2 linked regions of the Arabidopsis thaliana genome follow. Changing the gene in region 1 together with any one later gene gives a genetic interaction. Each region holds a gene or a part of one and is shown in the gene's direction. Other genes may lie near its edges.

Region 1 (12,014 bases):
GAGTGGAATAAAAAGACACTTGTGCTTTTCCCTTCCATTGAGTATGTGATCTCAATATCATTGCTGCATCGATTTCCCATTTATGGAGTAAACTCATGTTTTGTTTTTGTATTTATATATACGGAGAAAAAGCAAATCCTAAGTAATTATAATAAAGTTTGATTAGGTATTATCATGGATGCTTTCTTTTGGTATTAGGATTAGTTTTCTAGACTACATAATAAGAATTTCAACTGAAAACGTTTGTAGACTCTAGTCTTAATCCATGTAAATTTTTAATAATTATAGAGTAGACATGTTCAACGAAAACTGATCTCTGATTTCGATCTAACTCTAACCAACCATTGTATACTTTGCAACTTATGTAAGATTCATGAGATTGTGTTGGTAATACTATGTAGAGTGATTGAACTTCATAATGGTACGATCACCTTGACTTTCATATATATAATTCCACTCAATGTTATCTGTTCACAATATATGTAAAGTTTGGCCAGTCCATAAGGGCTGTGAAATAAGTTTCAGTCCAATGAATTGATCATAATAACAATTGATTAGTTGAATCCAAATGAGACTTTAGACTGCACTCATTGTGCATCGCTTATCTTAATTAGTGTTCAAACCTAGGTGTCAGGAAATTAGGTTTTTAAATGGTGGTATGGTTAGGACGTCCAAATAGGCAAATACTTGAGAAATGAAACTTTAAATTAAAATTCCTGATTCACATATGAAACGAGATAAAAGCGTGGATCTATACGCAAATTTATATCTATATCACATATATTATGTGGAGCTCCAAAAAGAAGTATACCAATGGCGGAAAATGACACCAACAAGAAGAAAGAAAAAGAAAAAAGCATTGTAAATTTTGGGAAATCAAGCAATGTACAATGTAGTGTGTGACATGGGAACAAGAGTAAGTGGACTTGGCCCAGTGGGGTACTCTCTTGCTCCATGCCTCTTGCTAAAATAAAAAGTTGGCACACAAATAAAAATGGAATATATAATTGATAAAGCCAATTATTATTTTGTAAAGATTGATATTGTCAAATTTAAAGGTTTGACATTCTTTTTTCTCCAGCAACCAAACTATTCACTCTATTTGTAGTTTTTTTTTCCTTATCATAAAAGCATCCAAAGCGTTTTAAAAAAATCATTGCATAATGTATAATGTGTTATGGGTGAACAGTCAAAATGCAAATTGCTAAACAATTTAGTACCTAGGCTTTATATTTGAATGAGTAAATGCTGTGTGTTTAATGTTTATCAATGCATTAGTGGTAGATTAAACATGGGTTGAGACTTGAGAGCATATATCTCCACCATAAATATTCAGTCGTAAGTCCAAATATTTTCTTGAAAACAACATTTGAAATGTCATAATAACAAGTACCATTTGGAATTCTATTACAAAAGAGTTAATCCATATAAGTCATATAGATTTTGATTGGTAAATTGGTAACACGATAAAAAAAATGAATGAAAACCTACTTTCACAATCTTTTACTTGTCAGATAATTTTGAAAACTTTTTTCTACAACTTCTTTTTTCATTTGCTTTGATTATGCGATGATATTAACAAATGAAGGATGCGACTAAACCTTCACAACAATGAAAACCAAAAAAAAATCCATTTACCATAGTTCAAACTTCAAACACGGTATATAAATGGTGAACATGCAGGAGTTAATAATCCCTCGTGATGAGGAAAACAAAACTCAAAACTCAAAAGAAAAATGTTTTGAGTGGCGCGAGAAGAAACCTCGTAATATTGTGTAGTTAAATAATGTTAAGTGGTGTTTTATGAAAAGAATACAACTTGAAAAGCATTTATTTTGCGTGTATTCGATGGAGAAAAGTATTTAGTAGTTGTAGCCTTTTATTGAAATAAAAATGGTTAATTGGGTGTCGAAGAAAAGGATATAGGGAGCTACGTGTGGTGGTATCTGCCATGTAGAAAATCGAAGCGCATGCACAAAGTTGGACTCATGATGAGACTTCACATGACCACCTTCATTTATTCCTCCTACTCCTCTCTCTCTCTATGTACAGTATTAGTATTAAATTACGTATATAAAAAAAAAAAAAAAATATTACGTATATATAAAAAAAAAAAAATATTACGTATTTATTTTTTGTCCTAGCGTATAGACACGTAGACCGTAGTTATAAGAAGTTAGTCGTTTGTCCGAGCATTGATTTTGTACAACTCTTACAGAACCTAAAACAGACTGTACTTACCAATGCCAAACTTGTCTGTCTTCTCTTTCTATTTATTTCTTGACTCAAATTTGAATCGAATATATTCATAATCTGACCAGAAAAAACCAAAACTCTAATAAACAAAAAAGCTTTGAAACTAACAAAGCGAAGCCAAATTTCATAAAAGAAAGTTTAAACACACAAAAAGTCCTAATTTGAGGCATTTTTTGACAGGACTAATAACTTTATATTTCAAAAAAATAAAGTCCCTTTCACGCTTCTCACGCGCTCGGTGAGTGACATTCCCACACCATTTTCCTCATGCATGCAACATTTATCATCATCATTATCATAAACCTAATGCATACAAAGATGTACGTAGATATACACATGATGATATATTGTACATGCAACATACATCAGCATCAGCATATGATGAACATCAGAAAGAAGGAAAGAGAAAGAAACTTATGTGATGTCCTTCTCACAGAGCTAAAGACAACAGCATTTTTTTTTCCCTAAGTTAGCAAAATACCCATTTCGTCAAATATCCGTTTCTTCTGACAACAATTTCTTCGAATAAAACATAACAATATTAAAAAGAAAAGGTAAAGAAAAAAACAAAGATTGGCCTGTCTTCTCTGCCTCCATATTAAGTTAGTTATTTTATATGTATTTTTATCATTACTGTTGTGGGTAGAGTAAAAAAAACAGATGGGTTTTGCAGAGACTGTTTTGCGTGTGTTGGCTTTTCTCCTTTATTGTCTTTCCCCTTTTTTATCCTGCACCTTATTTTAATTATTTCTTAGCTAATTTTTTATTGCTACAAATACTAGAATAATTTTATTTTATTTTTGCATCACAAGTTATAACCAGAAGAAACTTATGTAGTAATTAGTACACATAAAACTCAATTGCATTTTCTTTTTACATTTTTTTTTTTTTTTTTTTGGACAAATCATTTTCTTTTTACTAAAGTAAATGTTTTTAGTGAACACATTGAGTACAAATATGGACACAAAGTATAAATTATTATGAGATTTTGCAGTAGATATTAATTTATTTTAGCTATGTAAATAAAACCGTAAAAGTAAAAAGCTTTTATCAAATTCAACCCACCTGGCGTTTCAGTTTTCATTTTTTTTTTACCTTTATGCTGTTTTTATGTTCTTGCAAGTCTTTCTCGCGCCACACAAAAGAAAAGTAATTTCTTTTAGAGTTATGTTTTATTTTTTTTGGACCATGTCTTAAAAGGATCTCGAGATTGGCGTCTGAGATAAAGACCTCTACTTTGCTTCCTTTATCTTGCTCCTCTTATCTCTTCGCTTCTCCTTCCTCTCCTCTCTCGCCATTGCCCTCTGGCGTTTTCTGTCTTGAGCTAAAGAAATAACAAATAAACCGAAAAAAATAAAAATAGAAACTTTTTTTTTTGTTTATTTGTTCTTTCTCCAAAACTCCTTTTTTTTCTCACCATTATCTCATGAACGTGAGTGGAGGCTCTCTGAGTAGAGAGAGCCTACCCTTGAAAATAACCTAGGGATTTCTCCAATTTTCAAGCTTTACCCATTCAAAAGAATCGTCCTTTTTTCCTATTTCTGACTTTGAGCTATGATGATGGTCCATTCGATGAGCAGAGATATGATGAACAGAGAGTCGCCGGATAAAGGGTTAGATTCCGGCAAGTATGTGAGGTACACGCCGGAGCAAGTGGAAGCTCTCGAGAGAGTTTACACTGAGTGTCCTAAGCCAAGTTCTCTAAGAAGACAACAACTCATACGTGAATGTCCGATTCTCTCTAACATCGAGCCTAAGCAGATCAAAGTTTGGTTTCAGAACCGCAGGTGAAATTTCATCTTCTTTCCTTATCAAAGTTGTTACCTTTTGTCTGTATTAATTGTTTTCTTACCATTAGATTATCTTTTTGTTTGTATATGAGTTTATGAAGATGTTAAATGTTTTTCTTTCTTTGACTGGTCAGTTGTATTTAAGTTTCCTTGCTGTTCTTATCTGACAAGAATTTTTTGGATCTCAGTGATCATTTTGTTATGAGTTTTAATCGTCTTCTAAATCTCTTTAAAGCAAGAAACTTTGTTTACCATATGCTTTGACGTATCTAGTTGGTTGAATATCTAAATTCACGAAAGTGACATTTAATCAAATTGTCTTTGAATGCGTTTCCAACATTTATTTCTGTCAAAAGCTTAAGATTTTCTGCCAGAAATTATGATATGATAAAGGGGAAAAATTTACATTATCTTTTCTTCTTTATATCATTGGATGTGTTTTATAAAGACAAATGGTGTCTGTCTCTGTTCATCCACTAACATTTCTTCCCATCATCCATGCACATTTGGCTTTTATGTTGGCTTAGTTGGTCTAACGAAGCTTCCTTTTGATTTTTAGATGTCGTGAGAAGCAGAGGAAAGAAGCTGCTCGTCTTCAAACAGTGAACAGAAAACTCAATGCCATGAACAAACTCTTGATGGAAGAGAATGATCGTTTGCAGAAGCAAGTTTCTAACTTGGTCTATGAGAATGGCCACATGAAACATCAACTTCACACTGTAAAGTTCACTTTTCACTATTTTCTGTCTCTAAAACTCAATTCTATGAAGCATTTTGTTTGAAAGTTGTTATCTTTTTTTTGGAATGTAGGCTTCTGGGACGACCACAGACAACAGCTGTGAGTCTGTGGTCGTGAGTGGTCAGCAACATCAACAGCAAAACCCAAATCCTCAGCATCAGCAACGTGATGCTAACAACCCAGCAGGGTGAGCTTTTCTTGTCTGCTCTATAACTCTCTAATGAATTCTGTTTCCCACTCTGTGACAACCTAAATGGTTCTTTTTTGTTTAGACTCCTTTCTATAGCAGAGGAGGCCCTAGCAGAGTTCCTTTCCAAGGCTACAGGAACTGCTGTTGACTGGGTTCAGATGATTGGGATGAAGGTAATACTTTCTGGCCTGAATACTCTTAAAGTTGTATAATCTGATTTCTATTCTTTAGTTGTGTCTGAAGATGAAGTTGTTTATGATTATTTGATGAACCTTCATTGCTGGTGTAGCCTGGTCCGGATTCTATTGGCATAGTCGCTATTTCGCGCAACTGCAGCGGAATTGCAGCACGTGCCTGCGGCCTCGTGAGTTTAGAACCCATGAAGGTAAAGAGTGCGATTTGTTACGTTCTGGCTTGTGTTTATAATCATTAGCTTACGCTAGTCTTGATTTGAAAACAAATATAGGTTGCTGAAATTCTCAAAGATCGTCCATCTTGGCTCCGAGATTGTCGAAGTGTGGATACTCTGAGTGTGATACCTGCTGGAAACGGTGGGACGATCGAGCTTATTTACACGCAGATGTATGCTCCTACGACTTTAGCAGCAGCTCGTGACTTTTGGACGCTGAGATATAGCACATGTTTGGAAGATGGAAGCTATGTGGTGAGTTCTTGAATCTGCTTTTTCTGTTATGTAGTTTCTGTTTTAATACTTTTGTCTTCACTCACTGTCTTCAGGTTTGTGAAAGGTCGCTTACTTCTGCAACTGGTGGCCCCACTGGGCCACCTTCTTCAAACTTTGTGAGAGCTGAAATGAAACCAAGCGGGTTTCTCATCCGTCCTTGCGATGGTGGTGGTTCCATTCTCCACATTGTTGATCATGTTGATCTGGATGTAAGTGACAACTCGAATCGGTTCATAACACTTCAGTTCTCTCTTTATAATATGATCATGACTTTGTTTTTTCGGTTTTGCAAGGCCTGGAGTGTCCCTGAAGTCATGAGGCCTCTCTATGAATCATCGAAGATTCTTGCTCAGAAAATGACTGTTGCTGTAAGTTCAAATACCTTTATCCAAACTGTATATGACCTGAACGACTTGGTATGCTGCAATGTTTCTTAAGTTCGGAGTCTTATTTCAGGCTTTGAGACATGTAAGACAAATTGCACAAGAAACAAGTGGAGAAGTTCAGTATGGTGGAGGGCGCCAACCTGCGGTTTTAAGAACCTTCAGTCAAAGACTCTGTCGGTAAGTATCTACTTTACTTAATAGCTTTATCACCAAGAATTTCTTTTATTCTTATTCTAATTGTTCAATATGGATGAACTTTCAGGGGTTTCAATGATGCTGTTAATGGTTTTGTGGATGATGGATGGTCACCAATGGGTAGCGATGGTGCAGAGGATGTTACTGTAATGATAAACTTGTCCCCTGGGAAGTTTGGTGGGTCTCAGTACGGTAATTCATTCCTTCCAAGCTTTGGTAGTGGCGTGCTTTGTGCCAAGGCATCTATGTTGCTTCAGGTACATGTCTTAAGGATTTGATAATAAAAAAACTAATATTCTGTTTCTGTCTGTTTCTAACTAACTTGCATCTTTTTTTTTTTGTTTGAAGAACGTTCCACCCGCTGTGCTGGTTCGATTCCTTAGAGAACACCGATCTGAATGGGCTGATTATGGCGTGGATGCTTATGCTGCTGCATCGCTCAGAGCAAGTCCTTTTGCTGTTCCTTGTGCTAGAGCTGGGGGGTTCCCAAGTAACCAAGTCATTCTTCCTCTTGCGCAGACAGTTGAACATGAAGAGGTACTTTTATCAAAGAATAACACAGCTTCACTTTCTCCTCTCTCTAAATACGTGTTATAGTCCTGAAACCTTTCTTGGTTACTTGTTTCAGTCACTTGAGGTGGTTAGACTTGAAGGTCACGCTTACTCACCCGAAGACATGGGTTTAGCTCGGGATATGTATTTGCTACAGGTTTGACTTCATACTTTAACTCCAAAGTTTCTATGCTCCTTTGTTCTCTTCATGACATTTTGGATTCTTGATTCTTGTCTAGCTTTGTAGCGGTGTTGATGAAAATGTGGTTGGAGGTTGTGCACAGCTTGTATTTGCCCCTATCGATGAATCATTTGCTGATGATGCACCTTTGCTTCCTTCCGGTTTCCGCATCATACCTCTTGAACAGAAATCTACTCCGGTAACATGTCAAAAAGCCATTTAAGGATCAGTCCCAAATCATTTATTCTTGACGCAATATTCTAAATTTCTAATCCTTCACTGTCATATAGAACGGTGCATCTGCAAACCGTACCCTGGATTTAGCCTCAGCTTTAGAAGGATCCACACGTCAAGCTGGTGAAGCCGACCCAAATGGCTGTAACTTTAGGTCGGTACTAACCATAGCATTCCAGTTCACATTTGATAACCATTCAAGAGACAGTGTTGCTTCAATGGCACGTCAGTACGTGCGAAGCATAGTAGGATCGATTCAGAGGGTTGCTCTAGCCATTGCTCCTCGTCCTGGCTCCAATATCAGTCCAATATCTGTTCCCACTTCCCCTGAAGCTCTCACTCTGGTCCGTTGGATCTCCCGGAGTTACAGGTACTTCATTATCATTAGCCTCTAGGTTTCTGCTTTTGTTTACATGATCTATGGAGTATTTTATCTGAATTTCTCTTCTTTTCTTTTTGGCTTTGTAGCCTTCACACTGGTGCAGATCTCTTTGGATCTGATTCTCAAACCAGTGGTGACACGTTGCTGCATCAACTCTGGAATCACTCTGATGCAATCTTGTGCTGCTCCCTCAAAACAAACGTAAGTAACAAGGCTTCCCATTCAGATTTTGTATTTGTGACTAGAACATGTTCTTGAGATGACTGACATAAATTCTCATCTGTAGGCTTCACCGGTTTTCACATTCGCAAACCAAACCGGTTTAGACATGCTGGAAACGACTCTTGTAGCCCTTCAAGACATAATGCTAGACAAGACCCTTGACGAACCTGGTCGTAAAGCTCTTTGCTCTGAGTTCCCCAAGATCATGCAACAGGTTTTTGTTTTTTCTTGGGAAACATTTTGACATTTTCTTGGAAAAATCATTGTTTGACTTGGAATCTAAATTTTGTTTTACAGGGCTATGCTCATCTGCCGGCAGGAGTATGTGCGTCAAGCATGGGAAGGATGGTATCTTACGAGCAGGCAACGGTGTGGAAAGTTCTTGAAGACGATGAATCAAACCACTGCTTAGCTTTCATGTTCGTGAATTGGTCGTTCGTTTGAAGAATAATAAGAAATAAGAAGACCAGATTTTACTCCATTTTTCCCTTGGTAGGGAGGTTATTTATGTAAGATATTAAAGTTAGGTGCCACTATGCTCCAAAGTCTTTTGAAATTCGAGGACCAATATGTAATATGACGAATGTCTGATCTTGTATGGATTGTTCTTGTTCCTATGTTACGTTATATGGCAAGATTATTATGATAATGTTATCAAGTTTTTTTTCTTGTGCTCGTTTGCTTTCACAAGGTGACTAGTTTCTATTTTCAACTACCTATTTATATGACCATCTATGTCTAGTTTGTCTACTATAGGGGGTTCTTGTTTGACGTGTAGTTTTTTCTTTCCCTGAATGTTTTAGTTATGCTGCTAAAATTTAGCTCTTTACTGAAGTCTCATAGTTTGTAGCCAAAAAAAAAGAAAAAAAAAAAAATATATGAGTTAAAATTTCGTAAATATCTAATTGGACAAAGAAACTATATTAAGTTTTGGAACATCTAACAGGCTAATAATAATGATGTTTCATTTTTATAAAGTAAGAAAGATAGATGAATGAGCTAGCTGGTTACGTTGTGCAATTTTGGAGTATGTATATCAATAATTATAATAAAATAGAAATATATGTATTATTGATAAGATATTATGTTAGATTTGGGTATTATTGTTTTGTATAATGGAGGGTGGTCCAATTTGAATACAGGTTCTAGTTGTGCGAAGCCGTTAATAGCACTGCAAACAAACTTAAAGATTAGATTTGCATGAATCTTCACAATAAATGAATACATCATGCCTATTTATAAATTGATCGTACACTAAAAAAAAAAAAAAAACGTATACTGAAATCGTATCTATCATAAGAAAAGTAAATGATGATGATGCCTCCTACTCTTTAGCTTATAGGCAGAGAAACCTTTTTTTTGTCAATGAAACCTATACACGTTTTTTTCTCTGTAGTTGTCTATTTTAATGAAAATTTTAAATGTTATCGTATTCTACTGAGAAAGCCACCATTTTGGTAAAAGACTGTAGCAGAAAAAAATGGTTAAAAAAAGTTTTTAGAAAAACGGTGGAAGTGACCATTTTGGTAAAACGGTCGCAATAACATTTCCATAATTGTAGGAAATAAGTTTATCAAGTTGCTGCGCGCCTCTCCTTTAGCTTTAGTAAAGATGAATAAATAATTCATAGGATATCGAAAAAACGATACTGCTTTAATAATTAATATTATTGTACTAAACATTTAATCATAATTTTGTTTCTTCTCATAATTTTGTTTCTTCCCGTGTATATGCATCGGGAACAATACATTTCCTTCCCATTTCACTAGAACTTTTGAAGGCACCACCAAGTTTCTGGATTTTGGAAAAACCACTGATGATGGTATATTACATAAGGCAACATCAACTTTGTAGCCTCTTCCCTCCATGGCTCTATCACCATAAGAAAACTTTAAGGTCATGTCTTTGGCTTGCACAATCCATTGACAATAGATTACTATATATGAAGGAGCATTATTAAGCAATAGTATGTTATTGACTTGAATAGTTTGTTTATCTATAAAATATATAATAACAAAAATCAGAAGTGAAAACTATAATATCTAAACTACTCTTCCGTTCCATTTTAAATGATATTTTAATAGTATTATGATATATCATATATTAATGGTATTAAATAAAAATAATAATTATGATATATCATATATTAATGGTATTCTTCCGTTGAGGGAACATAAGTTATGATAAAAAAAAATTAGTTATCGTGTAATCTCCTAGATCCATAACATCATAATTTACCGTAATTTTTATTTATTAATTCCATGAAATTTAGTCTTGATATCAACTCATGTAGCAAGTTACATTTTGATTCTTGAATTAATTTCGGTGTTTAAAGCATGTATGCATGCATTATACGGTCTCGCAGAAGATATTAGATGTGTTCTATCTGCTATGCCTTTAGGTTACTAATCTAAACCAAAAATACCAAATAAGCAAATAAACCACAAAGCAGAATACAAGCAACCAATTGTATAACTAAATTGAACACATCTTTTGACGACATTCCCTCTCCGCCACAACATTTGACATGTCGTTTGGCCCATAAGAAACTCGCCACTAGAGCCAAGATGAGGAGGACACCAACAACCACGGTGGCTATAATAAAGTAACCAATATTCTTCATATTGCTCTTCGAATTCACTGCACCAAAAATTTCTTCTTTTTAACTTTGTTTTGTGTCTTCTTCTTCTCCGGTATAGGTGATGTTTATATACACGTCTTGTCAACAGAAAAGTTTAACATTTTTGGAAAATATATATTTACATTTTTTCACTAAGGAACATTGGAAGTTTTACATTTTACGGCACTTTCTTGATCCTCATACCATCATATATGTACACATGTATTTAGTGAATCAAAACTATTAAACTATTTTAACATTTTTCTTCTAAAATTAATAATTAATTTCTAAATTTCCTTAATTATTGTACAAAAAATTAAAAGCAATAATTTTTTAAAAATTTTAAATTTCATTAATTATATGATGAAGTTTATAATTTGTTTTATTTTTTTTTTTAATTACAAGATATATATAGTTTCTTTATGTTTAACTTTTTTTATATTTAATATTTTCTTAATTCAAAACAAAAAAAAATATATTTTAATTTTTAGTTTATTTATTTATTTATAAGATACTAATAGTTTCTTTATATTTATCGTCTTTACTTTTCAATCCTTTTTAATTTTTATTTTTCAAATTATAAGAGACATAACTTTTTAATATTTATCTTCTTTACTTTTTAATCATAAATATTTTATGATAAATTAATTAAATTATGTATTGGTTGTTTTATGAAGTCTAGGTGGCAAGCTATTAGATGCTAACGTATCAAGCTGTGAGAAAGAGTTAAGCTCCTTTCATATATATAATACAACTAAAAATTTGAATCGTCAAAGAAAAATACCTTTAAAACAGAAATTTTCTGATTTTAAAAGTGCAAAAAGGTTAGTAATGCCGAATTTTAACGGAGGCTATTTTGTCCAAAAAAGATTGTTAACTAGCGATGACTATGAGGCTTGAGATTCTTCACCAATAAATGCCGACTCGCTTGGATTAGGGATATATTTCATCAAGATACGTGATTACTGGTGCCCATGCATTTACATAGTAACTTTACATTGTTAAATTTAACATTTTGTCACTAGGTAATCTTACCTAAGAAAATTAAAAATTAAAAATATTATATTTTTTTGTTGAATAAGTAACACAACTTGTCATGATGGGACTATATCATTAACACAACTTGAAGCACCAACTACTTTAATTAATTTATAGCCTCTTCCCTCCATGGCTCTATCACCATAAGAAAACTTTAAGGTCATGTCTTTGGCTTGCACAATCCATTGACAATAGTATTACTATATATGAAGGAGCATTATTAAGCAATAGTATGTTATTGAGTTGTTTTTTTTTTATTTTAATGAATGACTTGAATAGTTTGTTTATCTGTACAAAATATCATAACAAAAATCAGAAGTCGAAACTATAATATCTAAACTACTCTTCCGTTCCATTTTAAATGATGTTTTAAGAAAATAATAATTATGATATATCATATATTAATGGTATTCTTTCGTTAAGAGGGAACATAAGTTATAATACATATATCATGTGATATTGATGCCTTGATGGTATTGTAGAGTTAGATATATATATATATATATATAATATTTCCACAGAATAATACACAAACAAAACAAAC
Region 2 (8,842 bases), on another chromosome or scaffold:
ATACTGCTTATTGTTTTGGCCGGAAATGTGTTATCTTATGATCGGCAGGGTACTCGGAAAAATTTAGTGATCCATCCGACTAACGAAGATGATCCTACGTTCCCCGATCAGGTAATATTTACATTAAAATCTATATTTTTTGTTATATATTATGCATATTGGATTCTGTATCATTTATGTAAAATCCTTGTAAGTAGAATTTTGACACGGCAAGTCTCAAGATTTTGTCTTTCAGTATTGATATGTGTTAGTTTTCAAACATAAACAAGATCGACTTAAGTTTTCTCATGAAACACCAATAATACGAATATCAAGAAAACTTGGATCTTCTTCACCTCCTCGGCTTATTGGCTTCAGTAATGTTGTCTCTTATTAAAATGTTTTTGAGGGTAAAAATTTAATAAAGCAGAAAATTGTTAGATTAATCTATTGAATTAATTCTTTCTCGTGTACAAAGTTACGTTACGGAAGCATTGCCATAATTTCGGGTGATTTTGTTTGTTTTTTTCCAATTTAAACCTTTGTATACACATGCTATTTGAAACGACACTGTACTCGCCTTTTTATTAATTACGAAACGTTGAATGGAGACATTTTCAAACTATACATGCATAAAAAAGGTTTTAATTGTATCAACAAATTCAAAATTTGAGACAGATAGTTAATGATAATTGTCTAAGGAAACATCCCCTCTAGACTCTAGATAAACTTTTCAGAATCCTTAAAAATTAAAATTAAAAGATTTTCCTATGTTTGATAAAATTTAGTTTCCACAGTAGTCAATAACAGTTTAAGTTGCAAATAATTCAGAGATTCGCATCGTGCGTGTCATACTGTCATGTGACGTATGGAGTCACCACGTGTCTAATGAAAAAAACATTACTACAAATTTACCCACTTTGTCTTCTTTCTGTTAGATCTTTCGTCACTCATCTGTTTTGCAGTTTTGCTTGTACGCTTTGTCTTTGTTTATTTATAGTAATGTGTGTTCCTAAATTACTTATGAATTTGTGACGTTTAAATTCAGGTGCATATATCTCTGGTTGGGCCGGACAAAATGAGAATATCATGGATAACGCAAAGCTCAATCTCGCCTAGTGTTGTATATGGCACAGTCTCTGGAAAATACGAAGGCTCGGCTAATGGAACGTCGTCATCGTACCACTACTTGTTGATTTACCGATCGGGCCAAATTAATGACGTTGTTATAGGCCCATTAAAGCCCAACACAGTTTACTATTACAAATGTGGAGGCCCAAGTTCAACTCAAGAGTTCAGTTTCAGGACTCCTCCCTCTAAATTCCCAATCAAATTCGCCGTGTCCGGTATACATTCCATGTTTCCTCTTCACTCATATAAACTCTTTAGATTGTCCTATGTAAGTATAGATTTATGTCATCATGGTTTTGTAGCTTTATTTGTTATTTTATTGATAATCTTGATATTTTTTGATAAAAATGAAGGTGACCTTGGTACATCTGAATGGAGTAAATCAACATTGGAACATGTATCAAAATGGGATTATGATGTTTTCATCTTGCCTGGTGATCTGTCATACGCTAACATGTACCAACCACTGTGGGACACTTTTGGTCGCTTGGTGCAGCCACTTGCGAGCCAAAGACCTTGGATGGTCACTCATGGCAACCACGAGCTCGAAAAAATACCTATCTTACACAGTAACCCATTCACCGCCTATAACAAGAGGTAAGTTATTTCGATTTGTCTAGCCAACAACCAAACCTACTTTTCTTTTTAAGCTCCTTATTTATTGTATTAATTTTGGGTTTATCAGTTTTATTATGGTCTACTTTTTATTATTAAAAGAACTTTGTTATGCTAATTTTAGATATTTTTGTATACACGTTACAGGTGGCGCATGCCATTTGAAGAGAGTGGCTCGAGCTCGAATTTGTACTATTCTTTCAACGTTTATGGAGTCCACATTATAATGTTGGGGTCATACACAGATTTTGAGCCTGGCTCGGAGCAGTACCAATGGTTAGAAAATAATCTCAAGAAAATCGACCGTAAGACCACACCGTGGGTTGTGGCTGTGGTGCATGCGCCTTGGTACAACTCCAACGAAGCTCACCAAGGAGAGAAAGAGAGTGTGGAGATGAAAGAATCCATGGAAACTCTTCTTTACAAAGCTCGTGTCGATTTGGTTTTTGCAGGTCACGTTCATGCTTACGAGCGTTTTGTAAGTCTAAAGGGTTTCATTAAAAAACTGCATTGATTTTTTTTTATATATATAGAGCTAATTTGTGTGTTTATTTGACAGAGTCGAGTGTACCAAGATAAGTTCGACAAATGTGGTCCGGTTTATATTAACATCGGAGATGGTGGGAATCTAGAAGGCCTTGCTACCAAGTAAGATCTTCGTTAAATGAGATTTTTTATAAACAAAATTTGAAAATGAAACTAATTAAATGTTAATGTTTTTGATAATCATCATAGGTATAGAGATCCAAATCCCGAAATATCATTGTTTAGAGAAGCAAGTTTCGGGCATGGTCAATTGGTGGTCGAGAATGCGACTCATGCACGTTGGGAATGGCACAGGAACGACGATGATGTGTCGGTTGAAAAGGATTCGGTTTGGTTAACCAGTCTCTTAGCCGATTCATCTTGTAAGATTTAGACCCCCTCGGTTCGTATTCTTGAATGTGGTTAGGACTTGTTCCTCATCATTGATTCTATAAGATTATATGTTAAATGTCGATGTAGAATCGTAGATACTAAAAGTACTTATATATAGTATTGAGTATTGACAACAATATCAAAACAGGACACAAATGTTTTGATACCAAGTCAATTAAGAATTATATCTCATTTATATTTTAAGTTGTTATATTTTCTTTGTTGCTTTTCAACTTTTCAAATCCTTATCACTTTTTGCATATTGCTAATTCATATCAAACTAGATTTGCTTGTTGAATCGTGAGCGTCGATATTTATCCATATTTAAATGAAAATTACTTCTGTAGTAGTCCATCCAAACATCTGTAGTAGTCCTTTATTTAAAAGTTAAGATGTGCAATGATAATGTTTGCATGCAGTCTAATATGAACACACTTTACACCTTATGAATTCTGAATCGTCTGGCGCAAACATCTAACCACCAAAAACCTAAAAAAACAATCAGAAGAACGAAGAATGGAGAATAGAACAGAGAATCATTTATGTGAGATTTGATTTACCTAACTCTTCCGCCACCACCGACGCAGCAGATGATGCGACATCAATCGCCGGTAAATCAATCTCGGGTATAGCAATCGAACCACTGCGCACATCGCCTTCGAGGTGGATGTGGACTCCTTCAAATAAAGAGATTTCAGTACTTTTCTTGTGCAAAAGAGGCATGCTCCATCATACAACATGAATGTATACATACAGTAGTACGTAGCAAAATGAAATATACGTCATATAAACACAAACTTATATAGACTTTTAATCAGTTAAATTACGGTATATTTTTTTAATTCGTTTGTGTTTATATTATAAAGTTCAAAAAAGATTAGGTTAGATTAACAAAGGAGAAAATAACTAGAAAATTCCAATTAATTAATAAAAGCGAAATATAGTTTCTCTGAATGGTAATCTAATATTCTATACCAAACATTTACTACATTAATAGGGGTTACCAAAACCGAATATTTGAATATTCTTAGGTTTTTGAAATTTACATGGTAAAGAGACAAAGTTTTCAACCTTTTTGGGGTGTGAAAATTGGTCCGACTGGGTTATGATTAACCAAAATTAATCCTAGAACCAACTATATTTATAAATTAAAGTTTCATTTTATAAATAAAAATCAACACCAAACCGAATTGTCAAACTTAGACCAAAGCAATGAGGGGTAGAAACGGCATTGCATAGGCCAGCAAGAAATGAAGCTGCTCACACCTTTAAAATCATTGCCTTTGGTGTAAGCAAGTGTACCCACTCTTTAGTTCCATTTCAAGACACACCTACTTAATACTAATTGTGTTTCAGTTTTGTTTAACTTCTACAATCAGCATATTTACAAAAAACACAATTTCTCACATTTATTCCGTGAAAGAAGGGTTAAAAGAAGCCGTACAAGATTTATATACACAAGCCAAAGTAGTTTTAAATAAACGTGAAATTGTAGTCATCTTCTTTTTGGGGGTTAAGTCATGGGCAAACGAACGAGTTTTATTCAAAGGCATGTGAAGTTACGAAAAAAAGAGAAGTCATAAATACATCCAAAAACAACCACCTCACTGTTTATGATGTTTCACGTTCTACAACACTTTTGATCCATGATTATTTTTTGTAGGTTTTACGGCTCCAAAGTCCAAACACTCTTCTTCTTCATTATTTCTTTCTTTTTTTCTTCTCCCACCATAATTATATCAAATCTTGAATGCTGAGACAATATAAGAGGACAAAAAAATGCATTTTCAAATTGTGGTATACTATGATTTTCATACAAAGAAAAAAGTAACAAATAGTTTAACACACAAAGGAAACTATTTGTATCCGAAATAATAATCTAAAACATAATAATGGTGGAGTGTAATATTTGAACTAAACCAAGATTGAGCTAACCGGGACATGAGATGGGGAAAGAGAGCATTTACAAAATGGTCCAAAACGGTTGAAATAGAATCATGAAGGATGATGGTTCGAACCAATCTTTACCATCATTGCGAATCTTTAGAGGTCGATGGCCTCTTCTACTATAGCCCCTCTCATTAGTCCTACACAAATGACAATATTACCCTCCTCTGTACTACTTCCTTCGTAATGACGTAAATACCCTTACTCTAGTTCTTTTAACCGAATCTTCTGTTTAGAGGACGAATACGATGAAGAGCCAAAGGAAGTGCTAGGGGATCTTTCGGAAATTACGAAAATATCCCTGAAGATCAATTTCGAAAGAAGAGCAAGCAAGAAAACTCCTTTTTTTTTTCTTCTCTCTCTCTAACTTCTTTCTCTTTAATAAATCATCATCATTCACATGACGCAATATGCACAAATCTCCTCTCTCTCTCTCTCTTCTTGCGGCCGCCATCTATGCAGAAACACAACACAATGCATGATTGTTGTGTCAGGAGAGAGAAGGTTCTTTCTCTTTCTCTTTAGCTTTTGGGGATCTATATAACAGACAGTGTCTCACTTTGTTCTCTTTGTCCCTCTACCTTCTCTACACACACAAACTAGCGTCTCTCTTCTCTCTCTCAATCTTTCTTCGTTATCTCTGCTTCTCAACACTCCTTCCCAAAAGGTATAACCTCTATTCTCCTTCTCTCTCTCTCACTCTCTTACTGTTCTAGAAGCTTAACGTGAGTTTTCTCGACATGCTCTGTTTCTGTTTCTTGCTCTGTTATCTATCGCTTTTGCGTTCATACGTTAAGATAATAGTTATGTAGTAACGTCACACGTACAACTAACGTGAAGACAAACCCTTAATTTCTCTCTTTTTCTATGTTAAAACTTTTTCATCTTTTAAAATATTCCTCAATGATGGAAAGTTTTTAATCTTTATCTTTTTCTTTGAGGCAACCGAAATAAATAAAAAAAATTGTTTGATTTTTCTTTTTAATAGTCTGTATTGCTACGATCACCATCTTTGTTTTGTTGCTTACTCTGTTTTTTTCTAGCGTTTCAAATATAATCATTACTCTCTCTGTCCATAGAGGTTAAAACATTTATAATTACTGCATATATATCATCATGATTACTTGTTTTTATCTCTTTTCTTCAATTTCTTTCTCTTTATTAGCTTTATCTTTTTATCCTCCATACAAATTTATAATCATGTTCTTCTTCTCTCTTTGATCATTGATTTCATAAAAAGAAGAAAAAGAAATTCACATGAAAACGAAATAAATGCGACAAATGATTTTTCCTATAGCTAATGTAATTCACATCCGACGTGTGAAGCTGCACAACCCATGTGTGATGTAATGATTTAACATGAACAATAATAATCATAACACAAGCTTTGGTTTTATTGATATTATTACTCTCTTTTTCTCATTTATTTTTCAAAATTCGTAATAATACTTTTGTTTTGTTTTACTTGTAGCAAGAAAGCAGAAATGGAGAGGCTAAACTCGAAGCTGTTTGTTGAAAACTGTTACATAATGAAAGAGAACGAGAGACTAAGGAAGAAAGCTGAGCTTCTGAATCAAGAGAACCAACAGCTTTTGTTTCAACTCAAACAGAAACTCTCCAAAACTAAGAACTCTAACAATGGATCAAACAATGACAACAAATCAAGCTCTGCTTCTGGACAATCTTGATTTAAATCAAGAATACGTTAGAGCAAGAGATCTCGAATCCGTACGTAGGAGAAGATTAAAAGAAGACCCAACCTTTTGGAAGTATTTTATTTTGTTTGGTGTATTATAGGAAGATAAGTAGTATCGAGCACTGTAGTAGTTATTATGAAAAGAAGATTCTGTTTTATTACAAGAAGACAGTGTCTCTCTGTTAGTCTTCTCAGTCATATTTTTACTTTTGTTTCTATTTTCTATGTTAATTAAAGATCCTCTGGTGTGGGGTTGGGGACTTTAGGATATGGTTGATTCTTGGACTAACATTTTGTACCTTTGCTCCATTTATCAAATATTGTCAAGTGCATATCAATCAACTAATGTATCGTATATAACATGGGGACAAGTTATTCGATTTTTATAATCATATACAAAACGCATTCAATATTGATATATCATCTCATACAAAAACAAAAGTGACCCATTTTGTCCATGATATTTTCCGATCGAGTAAGACAGTAAGTGGAAACTGAATCGTTGAATTGACACTAATTATTCATCAGGATTAGCAAACACTTCTTAAGTATAAATAGGTCTATGTAATTTTCAAGTAGACTAGAGTAGAGGAAATGAGGAAGAAAAACAATATTAATAGTAGTGTTTGTGTATATATAGTCTACATGTGTTGTAGCAAGTTCAATGAAAGCTTTATCCTAACATTCTAAATTGAAATGATTTAATTATTATGCCATGTGCATCTGAACAATTTAATTATTATGGTTCAAACCAGTTGTTGATAATATTGGTCATGTAAATCATTTCCTTCAACAACAGTAATACTGGATAAAACCTCAGAATGGATAATATCAGAATACTATAGCTTTAAATAGACCAAAATTGATGCTACGTCAAATTTACACACACTCTTGGGTTTGAATATGAATTATAAACTCCAGTCACTCTCTAAATGTGTATATCTATTTTTTTTTTTTTTTTGTTATGATGGATGAATTGAGCATAAAATGTTAACTAATTAATTAAATTTTTAAAAACTAAATAATTTCCCAATATTCGTTTGGAATATATATTTTCCATTTAGAAAATAAAAGAAAAAGGAGGGCAGAAGGTGTCATGACATGAGATTCAAGCGGCTCTGTCCAGAGAGATGAGACAAGGGGCTTTTCATTCGGATTCTATGTGACGCCATCACACACACCCCTACAAGTTATTATTATATAGTATTAGTCAAAAAACTATTCATTTTCGTTTGAAAAACTAAACTACGAGTTCTCTGCTCTTTTATTTGACTTCTATTTTTCCTACAACTACTTTCTAAACATCAAGTCATTTCACATTTTTTTTTTCTTTTTTTTTTTCAATTCTTCACATTTTCAATAAAAACTTGAATATTTTCAAATTGGATTTAAAATAATTTGTTTCCTAAACATTTTATAATGACAAATCAAATTCTTCATATGAGGTCGATAAACAAAACCTTATTAAATTAAGGATATACCAATATTGGAGCACTATACTTTAATGTGTCCTTTAATTTTGTTATACATCAATGTGTCCTTTAGTTTATTTCGTGGAAATATGGGAAAACAAATATAAGTGAATAATAAAAATTATATTTTTAGCAAAAAAAACCCCGTAAAATAGATATTTATAATAATACAAATAAAGTAAGGAGTATATAGACATACAAATGTTTAGCTAGGTTTATTTGTCAGCATTTTTTTTTAATTGCTTGTATAAGCTTTTCTTGTCAACTATGTGTAACTATATCCTGTCATAATTATACTAGTTTAATAGAATTTACTTTAACTTGAAAAATTCCCACAAGTAATGAGTAAATAGACAAAAAGTTTTGGATATACTTAACACATATTTTAAACATCGCAAATACGGATGCAATATCAATAGTAACATTTGGTATGTTCTTGCATATCAAAATGTGTTCGACAAAAATAGACTAGAAAAACAAGGAAGATGTCGCATCGAACTCAAGTGTTTGTGTGAAAAATAAAATTTGAGGCGAAGAAGAACAATCATGATATAATTGGCCGAAATGAATAATCATCATATATCATAAAACAAGGCAAACTCGAAGTCAACTTTGAAATCTCAGTTTTAGAGATGTCCGATTTATGATTACTCCAAATCTCTTTGGAAGACCATGCAAGGCATCATCATCTGACGTCAGAATTAATTATGGACCTCTGGTTTTCAATTTTCACAATCATTATATTTCCTCACTTCTTATTTATGAGACCTAGATCTTGATATCGGTCAATATGTTATAGGTTTGAGTTACGATGTTACAATATCTTTGACTCTCAACTTATGCAAATTATATTCTGCAGTTGCTCTTCATATAATCTTATCTCTTGGAAGTAATATTACAACTCTGCAATATAAAATCAAGAACATCTGTGAGTTTTCGTAGAAATCAAGATAACACCAAAAGAATAATAATAACAGAATAAGTTATTCTGAATAACATAATACTTTCAAGATTATAGGAGAAAATGTTGATTGAACTGTGTGTGTTTTTCTTTCTTTATACTATTGAGCAAACGAATGTTTCA

Evidence for each region.
Region 2: of PHB (region 1) and ZPR3, extra expression of one rescues a mutant of the other (dosage rescue), as found in Arabidopsis thaliana (one study listed by BioGRID).

Annotation. Positions count from the first base shown.
Region 1 is NC_003071.7:14,635,790-14,647,803, reverse strand, and holds PHB (Homeobox-leucine zipper family protein / lipid-binding START domain-containing protein), read left to right. Parts: upstream 1-3,448; 5' UTR 3,449-3,810; coding exon 3,811-4,043; intron 4,044-4,605; coding exon 4,606-4,765; intron 4,766-4,856; coding exon 4,857-4,972; intron 4,973-5,057; coding exon 5,058-5,148; intron 5,149-5,264; coding exon 5,265-5,360; intron 5,361-5,441; coding exon 5,442-5,639; intron 5,640-5,713; coding exon 5,714-5,869; intron 5,870-5,953; coding exon 5,954-6,028; intron 6,029-6,116; coding exon 6,117-6,223; intron 6,224-6,308; coding exon 6,309-6,498; intron 6,499-6,589; coding exon 6,590-6,778; intron 6,779-6,869; coding exon 6,870-6,950; intron 6,951-7,032; coding exon 7,033-7,173; intron 7,174-7,264; coding exon 7,265-7,578; intron 7,579-7,676; coding exon 7,677-7,791; intron 7,792-7,876; coding exon 7,877-8,026; intron 8,027-8,109; coding exon 8,110-8,256; 3' UTR 8,257-8,481; downstream 8,482-12,014. UniProt on the Arabidopsis thaliana protein: Probable transcription factor involved in the determination of adaxial-abaxial polarity in ovule primordium. Specifies adaxial leaf fates.
Region 2 is NC_003074.8:19,555,327-19,564,168, reverse strand, and holds ZPR3 (binding protein), read left to right. Parts: upstream 1-4,845; 5' UTR 4,846-5,257; intron 5,258-6,061; 5' UTR 6,062-6,074; coding exon 6,075-6,278; 3' UTR 6,279-6,653; downstream 6,654-8,842. Other genes in the region: PAP20 (Purple acid phosphatases superfamily protein), read left to right, coding at 1-111, 1,028-1,325, 1,464-1,707, 1,873-2,203, 2,285-2,373, 2,461-2,644. UniProt on the Arabidopsis thaliana protein: Competitive inhibitor of the HD-ZIPIII transcription factors in shoot apical meristem (SAM) development. Acts by forming non-functional heterodimers. Part of a negative feedback loop. Involved in SAM development and lateral organ patterning.